5 linked regions of the Coturnix japonica genome follow. The protein of the gene in region 1 interacts with the protein of each later gene in a pairwise test. Links are inferred from orthologs where the notes say so. Each region holds a gene or a part of one and is shown in the gene's direction. Other genes may lie near its edges.

Region 1 (4,018 bases):
AGAAATTGGAGAGAAACAACTCTCAAGTAAATACTATGTGGTGAGAAACAGGCAGCAAAGCTTTAGGCTCTATGACACAGCACACAAGAATACACTGTCCAACAAGTTCCATGCCACCTTAAAATGGAATATTCTACTATTTGAAAATGTTAGCTGGAACGGTCACATCTCCCGTTCTGTGGTCTCCACTATTACTGCTTTGCTTCAACACTACACAATCCCATTCCTGTTATTTGACTTACTTCACATGTTTTCGGTGTTCGCTCACAAAACAGCTCAATTTTAATGTCTCCTACATCAGTGTGTAGCGTGACAGCCTGAAAAACAGTCACAAAACATAATTAAACCAGCAATGAAATGCGAAGAGCTATAGACCAGATTGATTTCCTGCTCTATCAGGAACAAGAACAGGAGTGAGTTCCCGTTACATATATAACTGTTGTGTCAGTATCTGGCTATAGGCAAAAAAAATTACCATTTTTAAAGCTTTCACACATGAAAGCTTAAAACTGACTGTCTTAGAACTGAGAGTCTGAACCCATTTCAGACTGATACAACTGTATCTTCTTTTTCACCTGTAAAGTGAAGTGACCAATCGGTGGTTCGGGCCATGACTCACCAGCTCCCACACATCACTCTATCCTTTAGGAGTCCGAAATGGAAACCTGCACTTCTCATTGCAAATTCCTCACAGCATCAGAGCACAACACACCATCTGAGAATCACAGAATGACCCGGGTTGGAAGGGACCTCAAGGATCACCTGTGAGTTCCAACCCCCCTGCTGCAGGGCCACCAAACATACACCTTACTAGATCAGGTTGCCCAGGGCCCGTCCAACCTGGTCTTGAACACCTCCAAGGACGGGGCATCCACAACCTCCCTGGCAGCCTGTTCCGGGCCTAACCACTCCCTAGGAAGAACTTCCCCCTAACATCCAACCTAAATCTTCCCTCGTTTAACTTAAAACCATTTCCCCGTGTCCTGCTATTGTCAGCAGAGCAGAGAAGCAGAGCAGCCAATTGCTTTCCAACACACCCACACGTTTCATTAAACACACGAGTACATACGAAGTGCTGCAGTTCTCACCATATCTGCTCATCAAGAGGCTGCGATAGGAGCGTGTACAGCAACTGCCTGCAAAGGAAACACAGCACTCGGCTCCCCCTTCTCCCAGCAGACAGTGGAACACAACCTGCATCACCGGAACTGCGTCCGTCTCTCGTCCGTCCCCAGCCCTTCTGCCCTCCTCCTCCTCGTTCTCTCCCCGTCGGTTCCGCATGCTGCTCTGCCTGCTCTGCCGCCCGCTCCATTGTATCCGTGCTGCGGGCCGCCCTCCCTCCCGTTCCCTCATGGACCTCAGGGAGCTCGTCGCCGCCCTGAATGACTTCGCCTCCCCGTCCCTGGCTGAGAGCTGGGACAACGTGGGGCTGCTGGTGGAGCCCAGCCCTCCCCACGCCGTGCGCACCCTGCTCCTCACCAACGACCTGACCGAGCAGGTGATGGAGGAGGCGGTGCAGAAGAACGCGGACCTCATTCTGTCCTATCACCCTCCCATCTTCGCTCCGCTCAAGCGGGTCACATGGAGGACCTGGAAGGAGCGGCTGGTGGTCCGGGCTCTGGAGCACAGGATCGGGATCTACTCCCCGCACACAGCGTACGATGCTGTACCCCATGGAGTCAACACCTGGCTGTCCAAGGGACTCGGTGAGACTGCTCAAAACACAACATTGGGTCCGGTTACTCAGCAGTATTGGTCACATCCATCACATTATCCCATGGGGAGCCTTGCCTCCCTGCTTTCCTTTAGCCAGCTTTTACAAGTAACACCTCGGTGTGATACAAACCAGCTGTGAACACCAGAGGACATTTCCAGGTGCATGTGTGCTACTGGACGCAGAACAGGCGCAGTGTGTTTACTGTCTTGGTTAAAGAGTCTAGGCTGCTGAGTTTAAATTACTGCCTGTAATTGATAGATTTATAGATAATCTCATTGTTCCTACATGACTTAAAGTATCTGAAATTCTTTTAGACTTCTGCCATGGCTTATGAATGAGAACAGCTGTGCTTTTTCCAGCCTGATACAACTGTTAGGATAAAACAGGAACACTGTGAAGAGTAACAAATGATATGTGTCAGTCAACTTATTTGTGCTTCACAGGACAAGAGTCCTGAGTTCCAGTCCGGGAAAATGGGTTCAAGTGCAAAATTTGTCCTCTTTTGGATACATGCTAAATCAGCATCAGTTAAGCTTTCACATCACCTAGCTCTCTAAAGCCAGTCCTTGCTCTGTTTCCTCAGGTGCCTGTACTTCTGTCCCACTGCACCCATCAACCGCTCCAAGCCACCCGACTGAGGGCACTCACCAGGTAGAATTCTGTGCAGACTCTACAGAGCAACTAGACACAGTGCTGTCCAAAATCAAAGACATCCCAGAGATCTTCTGTCTCACCACTCTCCCTGTCAGGTATCTGCTTCACTCTAACATCATGTTCTTTTCTCTCATTTGAAATATTAAGTTGCTGGAGCTGTGTTTTACTGCTTGTAACCACTTCATTCCTCTGTGCAGCACTGCTACTTTTTTTCAGCAACAGACCCATAAAATTAAAAGACAATCATCCCCTTCTGATCAATGCATGTTATACTGAATGGTAATTATTGACTTCATGTAGCATCACAGGGATTAACGTGGTGAAGAGTATTAACAAGAAATACAAATTAAATACACGTGGGTTAAATTCCCATGTGTGCTTCCTCCAGACTAAGCTAGACTGTTATGTCTTTTTTTTCCCCTTTCTGTGCAGCAGGCCTCTGAACACCTTTATGCTCTTTGAATACTATGCTGAAATTTTACCTAAGCTCTTAACAAGCACCAAACACATCTTTCCTTAGGGCTGACAGGGAGGAGCAGACACGAGTCAGTCTGAACTGCTCTCAGAAAGCACTGCTGGAGGTAGTGGCGTTATTGTCCCAGAACAGCCTTCTTTATCACAAGACTGAGATTCTCTTACTACAAAAGGTAATAAAACTATATATTGCTTCCAGTGAGTGTCACTTCTATGAGCTGACTGCCCTAAAATTGAATTCCATCAACTGCTGGCATCGCAGGTTTCCTCTGCATCCTGTCAGTGCTCTGAACTACTGGCCTGTAGGCATTTGATGCCATTTGAGGCCACATCCATTTTCCCAAACAATGAAAAATAACTATGTGGCCTGAACTAGTTCTAAAACTGGGTTCCAAACACTACTGTAGTTAGTATGTTGCATTCAATAACATCCATATTTTTTCCATAAAGTTCAGAATTGTTTTTCCTTAACGCTCAGTATACTTGTTTTTATACACTACAGAAAGTAATGTGAACTTCTGGAGTCAGCTTTCTCACAGTAATTTGAATTTCTTTTCTCTTCAGCCTCTTCTTCCACATACTGGAATGGGACGTCTCTGCACACTGAGTGAGCCAGCTTCCTTGTCAGACATAATTGAGCGTATCAAAAGCCACCTCAAATTACCCCACGTTCGCCTTGCCATGGGAACAGGCAAGACACTCGGTAATCAAACCCACCAGTAACACTGCCCATCTCAACTAGCATTCCAGGAACACAAGCAGCGTGTGTGTGTAGGTGTGTGAAATCCTGCTGCCTTGGACAGGTTTACTTGCCAACAGTATGAAGCGCTGTCAAAGATAAGAGGCAGCTTTTTAGAATGTTGGTGATAAAGTCAGGCAAAAAGACATCATCTGGAACATCATTTTTGACTGGAAAATGTTTTATGGTAGTTGTCACTGTGAAGGAGGCACAGCATGAGCCGAATGAGATACCACTTTTCATAATTCATATAATGACTTAAGATATTTGCCCCCAAGATACCAGACTTAAGCATGTACCGCCTCATAATATGACCCCTTTTGCAACTGACTTAAATTTACCAGCACCTTAGAATAGTAAAGATGTTTTCTGGTATCCTTCTGAACAAACAACCATCAATGTTATGATGAGAGAAAAATAGTGACAGAGAAAGT
Region 2 (3,948 bases), on another chromosome or scaffold:
CACTGATTGGAGCTTTACCTATATGAGCACATCACCACAATGCCAAGGGAACTTGGACCGCCTTGTGTCCCAGTTACCTCCGTGTAAGTGCAGGAAATGGGAGCCTGCTGGGAACAGCCTGGGCAGGTGCAAGCAGCACCCTCTGCCTTGAAGGAGAAGCCGCAGCTCGTAACACCCTCCATCCATTCGTTTGCAGGATGTTAAACAACAGCCGTGTGCTGCTTTGCACGCTCCAGCATCAGCTGTGGGGCAGCCAGGACCCTGCACAGCCCCTTTGGAAAATCCCCCACCTATCTGCCCCTGCGTGCATCAGCATCACCTGCCCGGGCACGTGCTGGGCAGGGCTGATGCAAGGGGGGACCCGCAGCAGCCACGTCACCCTGCACAGGGATAAGTGATGCCATCGCATTCCCATGGGATCCCATTGCTGGGGTCTCCCGTGAACCAGCCCTGACCTATCCTGCAATCTGCTCTATGGGGAGCAATCTTTGCAGGCAGAAATTTCCCAGCGTGATCCAAACCGCTACGAAGGAGGGGTGGGAGCAAACGCAGCCCTCGTGCAGTCTCGTGCAGTTCCGATCCGGGCTGTGCAGAGCTTCGTTTGATCGGTTTGAGAGCTGGAAAATGTGTCTGAAATAAGGACAGGAAACATGGGTCCGGGGTTGCACCTGTGTCCGGGCTGGACCCAGTGACAGCGCTAACATCCAGCAGCTGTAAATTGAAGCTAGAAAGGCTCAAATGGGAAATAAATCACTGATGTTAATAGTGCGAGTAATTACTTTAATGAGAGACGTAGCAGATTCACCGCCTTTCAGCTCAGCCTGGGAGCATTCCCAAAGCCCACGTTCGGGGCTGCGGGCTGTGACACACTGCTCGTATCACAGAGCTGGGAACGGGGTGGGCCCGGCTTTGTGCCAGCAGGGCAGCAATCCTGGAGTTTGGGCTCAACGAGCGGGTTTAGGGCGAGTAATGGCACACGCTGCAATGGGCAGCACTACCGGGATACAGCAGTACCGGGATACAGCACTACCGGGACGCAGCACTACCGGGACCCAGCGCTGTCCGTGACCGCACCGCCCACGCGGGGGCGCCGGGGCTCGTCGTGGAGCAGAATGTGTTACGGCTCCTTTAAGAGCCGGGCAAATGTATCAAAACAAAACGGCAGCGCTGCCATAGGCTGCGGGGCGGGCACGTGGCGCACAGCTGGCTTCCTGCGGCCAAGCACCGGTGGCAGCTCCCGGTGCCGCCGCTACGGCCCGACCCGACCCGACCCGACCCGACCCGACCCGGCTCGTTCCCGGTCCCCGCAGCTCCCCGCTCCTACACGGCACAGTCTCACTGCCCGGCCCGGCCATGGCGCACTCGGCGCCGCTCGGCCTTATGGAGCAGGGCTGCCCCATCCAGGTGGAGCACGATCGGAAGCGGCGGCAGTTCACCGTGCGGCTGAACGGTAACGGAGCAGAGCCCCCGATCCGCCCCCTACCCCCCGATCCCCCCCCTCTGTCCTCAGCCCCCTCCTCCTGTGCATTTAATCGGTGCCTCTCGGCGTCCCCGTGAAACCAGCCCCTCTCCGGTTCACCTGGTAAACACCAGCAGCCGGATGGGGTTATGTTGGATTCTTTTTCCTCCTCCTCTTTTTTTTTTTTCTCTTTTAATTCCAACCGCTAATTACAAAGTGCAGCGGGAGGTGATGTACGTGGAGGTGAAGCTCCCTCCGCCCACTCGCTGCCGGCATTGGGATCAAATGAGGGCACCCTGTGCTGTGGGTGCATTGGTGGGACAAAAGGGGTCATTGGGGAAAGGAAATCCTTCATTCAGAGGGCGGTGAGGGGCTGGCGCTGCTCCCAGAGCACTGAGTGCCCAGCCCTGGAGGTGCCCGAGGCCGTGGGTGGGCCCTGGGCAGCCTGGTGGGAGGAAACCAGCTGGTTTGCAGTATCTTCTCTGCTTTCTTTGTATGCGAGGAAATGAATGGTGCTTGGTGTTTGCCCCTTCATCCCTCTCCTCTGAGCCTACAGTGCTATGTGTGCTTCCTAATGCCTGCATCAAATCAGCACGTTGCTTTTCTCTTTGTGTCCTGAAAGCAGAAGCATTGAGAGCTGGAAGTAAAGCAGCTCATGGCAGGGACTGACCACGCTTTGTTCTCCTCTTGGAGAGGAGAGCAGAGAGAAGCTTGATGGGATGAGAGGGAATGGCCTCAGGTTGTGCCGGGGGACATTCAGGTTGGATAGCAGGAACTATTTATTCTAAGGAGTGACACTGCTGCCCAGGGAGTGGTGGGGTCACCATCCTTGGAGGTGTTTGAGCAGGGTGTGGATGTGGTTGGTGAGCAGTACTGGTGGTGGGTTGGACTAGATGATGATCTTGGTGGTCCTTTGTGACCTTAATGATTCTGTGATCCTTTGATTTGTCCTCAGTTAAGCTGTAGGTAACAGCACAGACAGCCAGCACAGCCCTTTTTGCTGGAGAGCATCACTGAGTGTTTCCATAGGAAAACCAGAGCAGGCTGTGCTGCTGTGCTGGGACTAAAGGGATGAGGTTGTGCTGTGCACCGAGATGGCTCTGTGCTCTCCCAGTGCTACAGTCACTAGATCTCCTCAGCAGGAAACTGCAGCTGAGCTGGGCCCCCTGTGCTGTTCCAGAGTGGGGCCGTCGGGGACAGCTGTGCCATCTCCACTCAGCACTGCATGTGGTGCATCTCTCTGTAGGAACGTGCCAGGCTCTCTGCAGGGCTGTCTGTGTGCTTGGGGACGGCTCCTTGGGATTGCTGGCTTTGCTCTGTCCCCTTTTTCCCTGCCAAGGTTTGCAGCTATGGAGTGATGTGTAGGATTGCATCTGGGCTGGGCAGTGGGGAAGACGTTCCTCCCCGTCCCCCATCCCAGGACAGAGAGGGCATAAGGAGGTGTTTTCAGCTGCAATGCAGCAAAAGTGAATGGATGGCGCTCAGCTGAAGCATGCAGTAAGTGCAGGTGAAGGTGGGGCCCTTCATCCTCCAGTAAGCACTGGGGGGAAAGGAAAAGTTTCTGTTATTTTAACTGAGTTTGTCTCATTGATGGGAAGCTTGTGTTTTGGAAATTCTTTAAGTATAGAAACTCTCCAGAAATGAGTTGAAGCTGAGTTTGGGCTCTGCAGATGGAGATGGAGGGGTATTATTAGCTCTCCTCTGATTTACATGTGTGCTGAAACTTCTTTCTTCCTCTATCTAAATTGCTGTGAGAATGTCAGGGTTTTGCAACAGGAAATGTGTGTGTCAGTGTGCACACACGCACCCCTGCACACCTGTGTGCACTTATGGGATACCCAGCTGTTCCAGTATCTCCCTCCAGTCCTTCCAAGGTCCCAAATGTAACACCAGGCCTGGAAGCTTTGTCCCGTGTTCTGGCCCATGCTGTAGGGGGAAAAGAGCTGGTGCTCCCTGTTCAGCTTTGGCAGTTCCTCAGCACTCTCTCCCATCCCCAGGTTGCCATGACCGAGCGGTGCTGCTCTATGAATACGTGGGGAAGCGCATTGTGGACCTGCAGCACACCGAGGTGCCGGATGCCTATCGGGGAAGAGGGATAGCCAAACACCTTGCAAAGGTACAGCCACTGCCCTGGGGGGAGCTGCTTCTATCCGATGGAGGGGAGAGGTGTGGGGAGGTTAAGTGAGGCCCCAGAGGAAAAGGAGAGCATTTTGGGGTGGCTCAGCACTCAAAAGGGAGGTGTTAAGCCTTCCCCCTGGGGGCTGGAGGGCTGGATGGAAACCTGTGGTCAGATGTTCCTATTTCTGGCCGCGAGGGGGGCTGGGTGAGTTCCAGCACGTCCTCTGCTCGATCCTCCTCCACTGCCAGCAGCCCTCGCTCCCACCCTGCTTCCCCTTGGGGCTGCTCCAGCATCTCCCCCCAGGAGCTGGGCTCCCTCGCCCCAAAGCTTCAAGGCCCACACGTGCCCTTTCTCTTCCTTGGGCCTCACT
Region 3 (4,099 bases), on another chromosome or scaffold:
CACAGAGCAACATCGATGAGCTCCTTCAAGCACTGCCCTACCAAAAGCTTTTCCCATTACAGAAACGTGTTTTCTGGCACAATCTTTCTCGAGATGTCGCCGAGATTTACAGCCACAGCCAGCTCCAATGTGAGAAAGCATCTGCATTTCAGTGAGAGGGAAGCTGAGGCTTCGCACTTCACCAAGACAGCCCAGTTAGTGGTTAGTGCTGGGGAATTCTGTCACCCGCAGCCTCACACACAGAACAGAAGTTCAGTACTCACCATGTCCAGCAGAATATCCACCTTCAGACGAAGGAGATTGTTTTCCTCCTCCAGCTGCTGGTTGCGTTTGCGCAAGCGCTGCATTTCCCTGCGATCTCCCGTGAAGCTTCCGACTTCTGGAGGAAATAAAGAGAGCACACAGTCGGACATCAGCCAACCGTGACCCCTGCAGGCCCCCCACACCACACGGCACTACCTGCCACCCACTGGCCATTCTCAAACTTGAGGCTCTGCCCGGTGAGGTTCATGGTGGGGGTGCCATATTCCAGGCCCAGCTCGACCTCGCGGGTGGATCTGTCCAGCTGCAGAGAGAAGGAACTGTTGAAGTTGGAACAGAGCTCTTAAGATCACCCAGTCAGCCTTCAACCCGTCACCATTAAACCACGTCCCTCAGTGCCACATCCACACGGCTCTGGAACACCTCCAACGATGGTGACCCCACCAGCTCCCTGGGCAGCCTGTGCCACTGCAGCACCGCTCGTATAGAGAAGAAATCCTTCCTAACATCCAACCTGAACCTCCCCCGGCACAACTTGAGGCCATCACCTCTCATCCTATCACTTGTTCCCTAGTTGCTCATCACCATGCCCACACTTTCTCCCACCCCAACATCCAGCCAACACACTGGGGGTGCCACTAAAGACTGTGAGGAACCGCAGCCCCAACACTCACCAAGTGCAGGTTGGACAGCGAGGCGGCCTTCCGCGGAGGGGTCTTCTTAGGGCTGAAGGTGTTCCCGAAGAGAGGCATCGCTCCCTATTGCCGGGACACGTCCCAACAACGGTAGGGGCAACGAGCACCACCCGCAGGGCCCGCGTCACCGAGCCGCCCTGTTAGCGAGGGAAGAGCGGATGAGGATCCCGCCGCTCCCGTCCCGCTCCGTCGGGATCTGCCTCGTTCCGGGGGGGCAGCACCGCTTCCACGAGCGGCGCCTGCGCCCCGGCAGCCCCCGCCGCTCTGCGCCGTGGGTCCGCCGCGTGGCCCGGCGGCGGTTTGCGGCCGGCGCATCTCCATGGCGACGTCGGGGAATGGGGCCTGGCGGCGGGGCTACGAGCCTGGCACAGCGTTAATATCAGAAAACCAAAGTGTCTCATGCAGGGGCTGGCAGGGATTTCCCATGTTCAGCAGGGAGTGGTGAGAAGAAATTGGTCTGGAAAGACAGAAAACTGTGTGTGGGGGGGGAAGCCAAGTTAGCTTGTACATTCTTACCATAAGGGGCTGCTGTTTGGAGCCTGCCTGACGGGCACAGGTTGCACCACCAGGAGGCCCTCGCGGCAGCGAGTAGAGATAGGCAGAGAAAACAGCTAGAAAACAAAGTGAGATGCAGAACTGCATCTTCGTAGGGACAGCCAGAAACCAATAGTTGCTTTATGAATAGAGAATCCCACAGTGATGTGCAGGCATCTGTTAATTGATCCTTGTAGGAATCCTCCCTTCCCCACATCCCTTCAAGATGATGAGTTGTTGGGAGAAGACTAATAAGCACTGCCTGCGAGAATAATGTAGTGTAAAGCAATGATCACTGATATGACGTACACAAAACAATACTTGAATGCGACTGACATACCAAGCGCAGGAATGATTTGAAGAATCTCATATTTAACATTACTGGGAGGGAAGGGTGTTGTGTGTAGAAGCTGGTTCCCAGCTCACACATCTAAGTAATTCGATTCATTTGGGGTATAAAAGCCAGTGAAACTCAGTCTGCAAGTTTAAATCTTGTCGGTGCAGGAGAAAGCCAAAGTGTTGCCATAGGTCAGCAGGCCGTATCCACAGTTTGTTCATTCATTATCTGCTGCAGCAATGTACTCCTCCAGTTCCAAAGTCAAACAACTGGCAGTGGTCACTTGTTGTCAGGAATGGTGCCAAGCCTTGCGCAGGACACGCGAAAGCCTGTAATCTGAGTTGAGACAGGTGAGCCAGTGTTGGACAGCGTGCCAGGAACAATGGTCAAGACTATAAAGAAACAAAGAAAAGGAGCAGTTTCCAAACCGACTTCCTAATTTGCTATTCAGACACCTAGACAGGTCTTCCCAGACCTACATGTCGAAACTGGGGATATGAGCGTGTCGTGCAATATGAATCTTGTTAAAGTCATTTATGGAGCCAATGAATGTTGAGGGAAGCTATCTCCAAACTTGCTTTTGTTAGAGACAGCTGACTTCAGCAACGGTTGGGCATTTTATAGAATAATTCAATCAGTTTTTGCTGCTTTTTTTTTTACTAGATAACAACATTACCCTGGTATCGTAGCTATTTTCCAAGCCTGTAATTGCTTTCCACCACCCTGCAATTTCTCTAGCGATTTCAGCAGGAGAGAATTGCTTTTATTCTTCTCACATGACTGCAGTGTGGTGCTGCCAGCACTGGTGGATGCCGTATTTTGCCCTAGAAACAGTTACGTCTCACTTGTGGATGAACCTCTTTAAAGAGAGCACACGAAATTAAGGCATTCATTAAGGTATATCCATTTGTGTGTGTCCAATTAGTGCAAATACTTCTTACTTACTGGATCCACAGTGCTGTGCTCGATAGGGGGAATACAGATTGCTAATATTTGTTTCAAACCTCCAAGCAGTGTCAACATATGCTGAAAACATGATGACTGAAATTGCACCTCACCCTGCAGAGGTGATAATATGGAGAAGGATGGAAGATGTTGCAGTTGGTTGAGTGAATTTTTCATAGCTGATCTTGTTGCCATCCAGATCCACCCTGCAGTACACTAGTGATTCCTAAAGGAGTATCCTCTGCTCAGGGCAGCTCAGTCTCATTAACCAATTTGCAGGTGCTTTTACTTTAGATAAAGTCCCTTCAAGGCCACTCAGTCATTCCTCATAAATGCCTGGGATGGAGGATTGTTGTTATTCTCATCAGCTTCTTATCTCCAGTTTGCTTTTGCTGCATTGGCACTGTGCTGGTGGGAATGTGCTCGGTGGCTGTTCACTTAAAAATACCTCATGGCTACAGTTAAAATACTGAATGCTGTTTTTCCACCCGAACATCTGAGGATCACCATGTGGTTTGCAGCCCATCTCCTTGACCTAAGAGCAGAAGTCATGGGTGAAATTTGTTCTCAGAAGCTTTGGCCCATTCCACCATGTTGGACTGTCCGGCCATTAGAGCTTGCCTTAATGATCCAGTAGGAAAATGACAAGAGGGACAGATAAACAGAAAGACTGCAGAGGGAAGTACTGGGATGTATTGAACTCCGCAGGAGCTGTGCACCTGTGCTTGCTCATCATTTATAATCACTAATTCAGCAAAAAACACCAGGAGAGAAGAGCTTGAAAGCTTACTGTGTGATACAGAGGGAATGTTAAAGGAGTAGATATGCTTCCAGTAAGGCAGGCAAAGGAACTGTGATAATCCAAGGAAGGAGGAGCAAGGGGTTAAACATTAGAATCATTACGTTAATCATTCACTGAAGTTCCAATTGTAAGGCTGAAGCAAATTATTACCTGAACCATTTGCAAGTTAAGGCCTTATGTGTAGCAAAATCCAGGAAACACCATATTTTAAGGCTAACTACAACCCTTCTGAGAGTTCTAAATGTTATTCTAAAGTGAAAATAACTGTGATGAGGCAGTTGATGTCTATCCAAGCTTTAAAATTTGAAGAGAAACTGATCGTGATCTCTTCCAGCCACTAGCCTGGCAAACATGGAGTACAAATGGAGCAAGATGTATTTGTTTCTGTGGTTTACATACAGACCCACTTGCAGAAGCAGCAGCAAAGCCAAGAGCAGGAAAGTGGCCAAAGGAAGAGCACGTCCAGTTCTGCAGGGTGGCTGGTTTAAAAGAAAAGCCATCACAAGCTCAGAAGCTGAGCTAGAA
Region 4 (4,093 bases), on another chromosome or scaffold:
TGTGCGTCCCGGGCCGTGGTGCGGACTGCCCCCCGCCGTGCTCCCGCAGCTCCCGCAGCTCCCGGTGCCGAACGTCTCCGAGCAGTTCCCGGTGCCAACGCCTCCGCCGTGAGCAGAGCCGGGCGGGGTGCTGACAGACCCCGGGCAGCCACGTTGTTCCTTACCTCCCTCGGGGCTCTTTTGGGTGCGATTCAGCCCCCCTGAGGCTTCCTGGAACATAAAGCAACGAGAGCGGCGCAAGGCAACGGAGTGCCGCTGTCAGAAGGGCGCTGCCATCTCCACGCCTCCCGCTGCTCCGCGGCCCTTGTGCGGGAAGATGGAACAACCCCTCGCGTCTTCTGGGTGCCCGTTCCCCTCAAAATGGCACTTTCGAATCCATCGCGAACGGCGGAAAGTCCAAAAGCCGCCTCGGATCATCGCCTCCCGCAGCTCCGGGACAGCTCCTCCCCGGCCCCGGGGCCGCTTCCCGGGGCAGGTGCCCTCAGCCGCGGGGCACGGCGGCTACGGAGCAAAACCAGCCGAAAAAACACCTTTCCCCCCCCCTCCTTTTCCCTTTCCCCTCCCTCTCTCCCTCCCGGCCCCGCTCATGGCCGCTGCGGGGCCGTAGGGGCGGGGCGGGCGCTGCAGGCCTTCCTGCCCGGCAGAGCCGCAACTCCGCCGCGCCTCCTTAAATCTCTGCCGTTAAAATGTGGGCGGGTGTTTCAACTCAAAAAGCGCTCAAATTTTTTTTCTTTTCAAAAAAAGCTGATGAGGTTAAAAAAAAAAAAAAAAAAAAAAAAGGAGCGGGGGGGGGGTTGGAAGAGAGAGAGGAGAGAGAGAGAGAGAGAAACCGGCTTCGTGTCCGTAGGAAACAGAAGTAGCGATTGTTTGCGCTTAAAAAAGGGAGAGCGCGGAGCCGCGGGAGGAGGCAGCGATCAGCGGAGCGGCAAGTGCAGCGAGCAGCGGAGCGGACGGAGCGGCGCAGCGCGGCTGTCATCGGCGGCGGCACCACGCACCGCCCGCTGCACCCGCCGTTCCTCCGTCCCTCCGTCCCCCGGCCCGGACGGCGACCCGCAGAGGAGGCGGCGGCGGAGGCGACCGAGAGCGGCGGGGACCTCGGCTCCCCGCGGACACGGCATGAGCCCGCCCCGCCGGGCCGCCGCCCGCCGCCCCGCAGCCCCGCTGGATGCACCCCGGCCGCCGCCGCCCAGGGCGGCTCCCGCCGGCCCGGATCGCGGAGCCGCGGAGAGGCCGCGGGAGTGAGGCCGCCGCCGGCACAGAGAGCGACGAGGGAGGCGGCGAGATCCGGGAGCGTCTCGCTCCGCGCCTTCTGCCCGGCCCCGGAGCGGGGCATGCGGCGGGCGGACCCCGATAGTGAAGACTTTGCCTCGGAGCTGCGGCTGCTGAGGCTCAGATGCCGACTGTGAGCAGGGTGGGTTGTCCTCTTCCAGGATCTCAGGTCTGAGTGAGTCTCCGGTATACGTGCGTGTATATATGTTACGTGTAACATATATCATATATCGCATAGCTCTTAATGTATTTCCCCTCGCAACCGGCCAAAGGCTTTAATATGAGTTCCTCTCTATGTGGAAGCAAAGAAATCTTCTTTCAAGCGGAGCTGCAGTTTTGCTGAATAATCACGTGTGAGTTAGGGGCGGGCTCTTGGCAAGGAGTTTTTTTACGAGTATTTACTACAAGGTCTACTCCAGAAGATTAACCATCCCAATCCTTCTGTCAGTCTCCGATGCCATGCCTGGTTAAAAAAAAAAAAAATCTCATCTTTTTCTGATCGTCAGTCACCCTAAAGAATGGCCGAGCCTTCTGGGAACGAGCTGGCGTCCGCGGCTGCCAAGGGGGACCTAGTGCAACTCACTAATTTGTTGCAAAAGAATGTAAACGTCAATGCACAAAATGGATTTGGGAGGACTGCGCTGCAGGTTGGTATCCAGAGAGGGAGAAAATATTTCATCACTGCTACCTACGTGACCCGGGTTGCCAAAAAGACAACGCTTTGAGCAGGCTGCTGGAGAAATGCGAGGGCTTTTTCAACGAGTTGGATGCCATATTTTATAACTTTAGTGGCTCCAGCTCCCTAAAATGACGTACTTGAAATAAAAGTGCTCAGAAGCAGCGGTTCAGCCGGGGGTCACCCTCGGTGGCGGACGGGCAGAGAGTTGGGTGCGATTTGGGAACTCGGAGGGGAGGAGGCAGAGAATGAAGTAGAGGAGACGAAAAGAAATCACCGTAGGTGAGCAGGGCTCAGGGCAGGTCTGTAAACACCGATGTGCTACGGTTTGGAGCTGCAGTTCTCGGTTCTTTTCCCCCATCCCCCCCTCCTTCCCCCCCCAACTTTCCCTCTTAAAATGTGCCTTGTCCGGGTGCTGGGCTCTGCCGCGATGGTACTTTTCCTTTATGCGCTGTTTGTGCCGAATGACCTTTCTCGTTCGGAGGCTGCACGGCACCGAGCACCTTCGATGCGCTCTCAGAGCCGCGGAGCGGCACCCCGAGCCCCGCCACCGCCTCTCCATTCATCGTTAGGGATGAAAATTGCCCTTTCTCGGCTCGGTGGCGGGGCGGGGGTTCGGCTCTTTCATTTCTGACCGTCCGTGGGGTGCCGTGTCCTCTTTTTTTCAGCGTGGAGCCGCGCAGGCAGCATTTGGAGCTCATCCAACTGCGAACTGTTGCGGCTGACGAAAGATTTTGCTTTTTCTAATATCAGATAATGATAGCGAAAAGGGTCGAATCCGTACGGGATAGCGAGAGGAACGGTCTGTAGATGAGGAGAAAGTGTGTGGTTATTAGTGCCGAAGGTGAAACAGAGGGACGTGGAAGCAGAGCTCCGGGGCTTATTAATTTCACACGTTAGAAAAATCGTTTGTTAACTCTTCTCCCCCCCTCCCCGAAACCACGAGAATCATTTCTGAAATGTACTCTGTAAAAAGCAGAATTCTTGCGGATGAACTCGAGATATTTACAGCTTTTTTTTCTTCTTTTTTTTTTTTTTTAATCTTTCTTTCTTTCTTTCTTCCCCCCCCCCCACCCCTTCCCTGACTTGACATCGAATGTGTTGCATTTCGAAATCGAGCACCTCTCGCTGTAAAGCAGGGCTGGCCCTGGGGGGGCACATCACCGGGGCCCGAGGGATATAGGATTTTTTTTTTTTGGAGGCTGTTCTCACCCCAATCGGGTGCCGGGTGACCGTGAGGGCACTCGGGGCAACTTTTAAGAGATCGAAAGGATGGAAATCGGACACTTAGAGCAATAAGGCTGCCAGGGAGAAAGAAACTTGCAGCTCGGGGCTTCATCCTCGGGACGAGGGCTGCAAAGCGATTTGCAGAGCGGAGATGTATTTACTGAGAGCTGCCCGTGCCCTCCTTGGGGCCGCTTCGCACAGGGGCACAGCGGCCGCTCCCCGGCCCCGCTCTGAGCTGTGACCGTCGGTTCTCATGGAGCAGAGGGGCACGGCCCGGGGCAGGGCAGGAGGGTTCGGGGAGCCACATTCTGTACTGTACAACCCGAAATGGGCTGCGGGTGCCTGGCTGCCCTCGAACAGCTCTGTCAATACAGCCTCCCAAATGTAGACAGTCTTTAAATAATCCCTCAATAATTTCTCAATATTTTCTCCATAACCTCTCAGTAAAAAGGGAGAGGCTGCCTACATATTTGTATTTGTGGATATATATATATGCCACTGAATTTTTGTTTAATTCAGCAGCTGCTCGGCTTCTCTTCCTCTCTGCTTTTAGTTTCAGACGAGGTGCTCTCTGCAGGCCTCACTGCCCGTCCTGCCCCGATCCTCCCTGCCACGGCTACGGGCCGTTGCCGCTCCTTAGAGGAGCCGGGCAGAAAGGAGCTGTGCATCCCCCCCCCCGGCTCCATCCCCTCTGTGAGCATTTTCTCCCCCCCCCGCATGTGGCAATGCAGCCTCACTCCCCGAGCCTGCCTTCCTCGAGCCTATTAACTCCCACTTCGACCAAATACACTTTATAAATCCACCAAAAATGCACCCCGAGCCCTCCAAAAATACTCCCTAACACATCCCAATAATTTTCCCAACACAAAGGAGGGCTCGCACTGCTCCTATTTTCCCTCCCACTCCTGCTCAGAAGTGAAA
Region 5 (3,999 bases), on another chromosome or scaffold:
TTTGGTAGTGAGCAGCAATAGAACAAGGGGCAATGCAGCTGGAACTCAAAGAGTTCTGTACTAACATGAGGAAGATCACAGAATCACAGAATTGTAGGGGTTGGAAGGGACCTCTAGAGATCATCGAGTCCAACCCCCCTGCCAAAGCAGGCTCCCTACACCACGTCACACAGGTAGGCATCCAGGCGGGTCTTGAATATCTCCAGAGAAGGAGACTCCACCACCTCCCTGGGCAGCCTGTTCCAGTGCTCCGTCACCCTCACTGTAAAGAAGTTCACTTCGTCACTGTGAGGATGATAGAGCCCTGGGACTGGCTGCTCAGAGAGCCTGTGGAGTTTGTTCTCTGGAGAGATTCAAGGCCCCTGTGGATGCCTTCCTGTGCAACCTGCTATAGGGTTGGACTCCATGATCTCCAGAGTTCCCTTCCAACCCCTACAGTTCTGTGATTATGTGATTTTGTGACTGCCACTTCCTGGTTTTTATATGCATCTGTTCTCTGGACAGCTCCATATTTGTTCTAATGGAGGCTAAACTGGATTTAGGGTGAATTTAAGATGTTAGAGCCTTCCAGGGCTCTAAGCATGTGCCAGATGGTTTTCTTGACCAAACCTGGACACCAGAATACACTTCTCCATCCAATCCTTGGGCAGTATCATGTTCCATACTGGTCCCTGTGTCTAAATGAAGGTGAAACTTCAGCATAGGAAGTTCCACATGAATGTGAGAAATAATTTGTTTACAGTGAGGGTGACGGAGCACTGGAACAGGCTGCCCATGGAGGTGGTGGAGTCTCCTTTTCTGGAGATATTCAAGACCCGCCTGGACGCCTACCTGTGTGACGTGGTGTAGGGAGCCTGCTCTGGCAGGGGGGTTGGACTCAATGATCTCTAGAGGTCCCTTCCAACCCCTACAATTCTGTGAACTTCTTAAGCCATGGTGTGCACTGGAAAACGGTGTGAGTGGCACAGCCGCCCCGAGCCTCACATACAGCAGGGGGGGCCTGTCCTGCTGCGCCTCCCGCCTCCGCCAGAGGGCGCCATGGCGGCCGGCAGTCACGAGACACCGGCGGCAGCTGTTGCTGGCAGGGCGAGGCAAGATTCCGGGGAGGGGCGCTACCATTGGCTGGGGGCGAGAGCTGCGGGCACTCCCATTGGCTGTCGTGCGGGGAGAGGCGGAGCGCGGTCATCTATAAATGGAGGCGGAGGATGCGCAGCCGGCGCAGTTGGCGTTGGATCGGGGTTGTTGTCGGGTGGGAGCCGTCTGCTTGCCGAGCGCCGCCGGGACATGCTCGCAGCCTGACTGACCGCAGGTGGCCGCCGCGCCCGGGACACGAATGAAGAAACAGCTGCTCCTCCTGTTCACACACCGGGGACTCGTCAGCCGAGGGGGCCGCAGGGGGAAACGCCGTCGAAAATGGCTTCGTTCAGTATCCGCGCCGCGCGTCCCGAGGACTGCTCAGACCTGCTGCGACTGATCAAGGTGCGGGACGCCAACGTTAGGCCAAGAGGGATGGGGTGGGGGGGGGTGGGATGGGATGGGGGGGGGGGAGAGAAGGAAAGGCGGCCGAACCCGGGGAAGGCGCAAACAGGGCGTTGCGCAAGGCCGAGGGGGGGAGGGAAGGAGGGAGGAGGGGTGATGGGCCCGGGGGAGGCGGCTGACGTGTTGTGCCGTTCCAGGAACTAGCCAAGTACGAGGACATGGAGGATCAAGTGGTGCTAACCGAGAAAGGTAGGCTTGCAGCGACTGCCCGCCCTGCTGCGGCTCGGTGCCGCCGCCCGCATCTGAAGGGTCCCGTTTGTTTTGCTCTCGTAGAGCTGCTGGAGGATGGATTCGGTGAGCACCCGTTCTACCACTGCCTCGTTGCGGAGGTGCCCAAAGAGCAGTGGTCGGCTGAAGGTGAGATATTGCGCCGCTCGTTTGTTCTTTTTACATAAGAGATGCCTTGTGCTTATTGTGACCTACCTGACTTGAGGTTCCAGCGAGGAGTCGGGGCAGGAGGAACAGGCTAAGCTTAAAAATGGCGATAACGTAGAGCCGTGCTGTTGTGAAGTAGTTGCTAACCTCGGAGATGCTGGATGATCAGGTGTAACAATGTACTTAATGCCAAGTAATTAAATGGCTTTTCTTGTTTGACCCTAACTTAACCTTATGTAATCCTGTTGAATCACATGTTTTCTTTAATTTGTCCCCAATCTTCAGGTTACAGTCTCTAGCTTCGCCATGTACATGGCCCTTCTGTGTACATGGATGGGCGGGGAGGTAACTAAAAGATCCGTTACACAATAAAGTAGATGATCATAATATGAGGTAAGGTCTACAGGGACAAGTGCTATTCCCAAACCTTTACCAAAGACACAGTAGATCAGAAGTTATTGCACGCTTCCTTTAGAGTATGTGCAGAGTATGATGGTAGACATTGCGATTTTCAAGGCTTAGATTTGAATATGTTATTGCAGGAAGAGCTGGTTTCTCTTCCCTGTTGAGTGGTGCAGCTGTACTTGAAGCTGCAGTTCTATGTAGCTTGATTTGTTGGTGCTGAATTCAAAACAGCACAATACAATCAGTGTGCACATATGTCAGCGTATCAGAAATGTATCAGAATGTACCAGTTGTCTTTGAGCATGTCTTCTCTCTACTGAGCAATACATTGGAAGATGAACCTTCTGTAGAGCTTTGTAGCTTGTCGGGGTTGCCAAGCAAGGCAGTGTTGGGGCGGTTACCTAGGCCTTGGACTGCTCTGTATTGCTTTGTATTCCAGAAGGGAAGTGCTGATAAATCAGTAGGGTATGTATTAGTAGAAATAAAGCCTTTTTGTTCACTGCTTATTATAACATTGCTCTTGAGCGTTTCAGGGTGTGAAGAGGGCAGTCTTCCGTTAGGTTGATGCCAGTTTATACTGACGTTTCCAGTTGTGCTTCATTCTTATTCTAACCTTATAGCAAACGGCTGCATGTCACTATCTGTATATTTAAATATGCATGTAAGACTTAATGCAAATCGGTAGCTTCAGACCAGCTAAAGCTGCGTGCTTTGTTTCAGGGCACAGCATCGTGGGCTTTGCTATGTATTACTTCACTTACGATCCATGGATTGGGAAGCTGTTGTATCTTGAAGATTTCTATGTGATGGCTGAATACAGAGGTAAGTACTATGGAATCAGACAAGCTGCTTCCTACAGAGCTACTTTAAAATTGAAATTGTCTTGCTGTTTTTTCCTTAAACTGTATATTTTTGTTGCTTTTTCCCTCAGGACTTGGCATTGGATCAGAAATCCTGAAGAATCTGAGTCAGGTATGTCTGAGTGTTAAGTCTAAATGAACAGCACTGGGGATGCATGATGGAGCAGTAGTCTTGATTTTCTGTTAGCTGCAATCAAGTTTCTCCTTGAGCACTACACAGGATTAGCATTGATGAGTTACTAAAAGAGAAATGACAGAGCTCCAGGCAGCCTTAACCACTGCCTAGAGGCTGAACTGAGAGATAAAGTGAACATCATGACTCGGAGCAATCTGCAGCTGGTGCTGCTTAGCATCAGACCCGCTGACCTGTGTTTGCGTTCCTGCAGGTTGCTGTCAAGTGCCGCTGCAGCAGCATGCACTTCCTAGTGGCAGAGTGGAACGAGCCCTCCATCAGGTTCTACAAGAGAAGGGGCGCCTCCGATCTGTCCACTGAAGAGGGCTGGAGGCTCTTCAAAATCGACAAGGAGTATCTGTTGAAGATGGCAACGGAAGAGTAGTGAGAGAAGATTCCAGCAACTAAACTCTTGCAATGAATATACGCGCTCTCTGAATAAACCCCTTCTTGCTTTCTGTGTTGGTAGTGGAATAAAATAGAGTGGATGGTAGTACTGTGCAACCATGGTCATAGAGTAATTGGTACCGTCAGCTGGAGCGGAGGCATCTCAAGTTGAATACGTGCTTGTATCCATCCTTTTACCAGTGTGAACTTGTAATCTTTGTATATGGAAACTTCATTCTTGTAAGTGGCATTCAAATGTGT

Evidence for each region. The genes of interacting proteins can lie anywhere in the genome.
Region 2: the proteins of NIF3L1 (region 1) and NATD1 interact in binary tests that used the Homo sapiens proteins (3 or more experiments, as listed by UniProt). The two-hybrid records come from large-scale screens. The link is inferred for Coturnix japonica from reciprocal best matches to the Homo sapiens genes NIF3L1 and NATD1.
Region 3: the proteins of NIF3L1 (region 1) and DMC1 interact in binary tests that used the Homo sapiens proteins (3 or more experiments, as listed by UniProt). The two-hybrid records come from large-scale screens. The link is inferred for Coturnix japonica from reciprocal best matches to the Homo sapiens genes NIF3L1 and DMC1.
Region 4: the proteins of NIF3L1 (region 1) and CDKN2C interact in binary tests that used the Homo sapiens proteins (3 or more experiments, as listed by UniProt). The two-hybrid records come from large-scale screens. The link is inferred for Coturnix japonica from reciprocal best matches to the Homo sapiens genes NIF3L1 and CDKN2C.
Region 5: the proteins of NIF3L1 (region 1) and SAT1 interact in binary tests that used the Homo sapiens proteins (3 or more experiments, as listed by UniProt). The two-hybrid records come from large-scale screens. The link is inferred for Coturnix japonica from reciprocal best matches to the Homo sapiens genes NIF3L1 and SAT1.

Annotation. Positions count from the first base shown.
Region 1 is NC_029522.1:9,804,258-9,808,275, forward strand, and holds the start of NIF3L1 (NIF3-like protein 1), read left to right. Parts: upstream 1-1,218; 5' UTR 1,219-1,279; coding exon 1,280-1,706; intron 1,707-2,300; coding exon 2,301-2,466; intron 2,467-2,891; coding exon 2,892-3,018; intron 3,019-3,409; coding exon 3,410-3,548; intron 3,549-4,018. Other genes in the region: PPIL3 (peptidyl-prolyl cis-trans isomerase-like 3), read right to left, coding at 243-317, 1,089-1,091. UniProt on the Homo sapiens protein: May function as a transcriptional corepressor through its interaction with COPS2, negatively regulating the expression of genes involved in neuronal differentiation.
Region 2 is NC_029529.1:4,555,849-4,559,796, forward strand, and holds the start of NATD1 (protein NATD1), read left to right. Parts: upstream 1-1,148; 5' UTR 1,149-1,353; coding exon 1,354-1,450; intron 1,451-3,456; coding exon 3,457-3,575; intron 3,576-3,948.
Region 3 is NC_029516.1:46,402,828-46,406,926, forward strand, and holds the start of DMC1 (meiotic recombination protein DMC1/LIM15 homolog), read left to right. Parts: upstream 1-1,299; 5' UTR 1,300-1,397; intron 1,398-2,064; 5' UTR 2,065-2,177; intron 2,178-4,099. Other genes in the region: CBY1 (protein chibby homolog 1), read right to left, coding at 264-379, 460-565, 936-1,013. UniProt on the Homo sapiens protein: Participates in meiotic recombination, specifically in homologous strand assimilation, which is required for the resolution of meiotic double-strand breaks.
Region 4 is NC_029523.1:21,374,494-21,378,586, forward strand, and holds the start of CDKN2C (cyclin-dependent kinase 4 inhibitor C), read left to right. Parts: upstream 1-1,293; 5' UTR 1,294-1,411; intron 1,412-1,775; 5' UTR 1,776-1,787; coding exon 1,788-1,916; intron 1,917-4,093. UniProt on the Homo sapiens protein: Interacts strongly with CDK6, weakly with CDK4. Inhibits cell growth and proliferation with a correlated dependence on endogenous retinoblastoma protein RB.
Region 5 is NC_029516.1:107,414,926-107,418,924, forward strand, and holds the start of SAT1 (diamine acetyltransferase 1), read left to right. Parts: upstream 1-1,199; 5' UTR 1,200-1,413; coding exon 1,414-1,479; intron 1,480-1,676; coding exon 1,677-1,896; intron 1,897-3,039; coding exon 3,040-3,141; intron 3,142-3,250; coding exon 3,251-3,291; intron 3,292-3,565; coding exon 3,566-3,736; 3' UTR 3,737-3,999. UniProt on the Homo sapiens protein: Enzyme which catalyzes the acetylation of polyamines. Substrate specificity: norspermidine = spermidine >> spermine > N(1)-acetylspermine. This highly regulated enzyme allows a fine attenuation of the intracellular concentration of polyamines.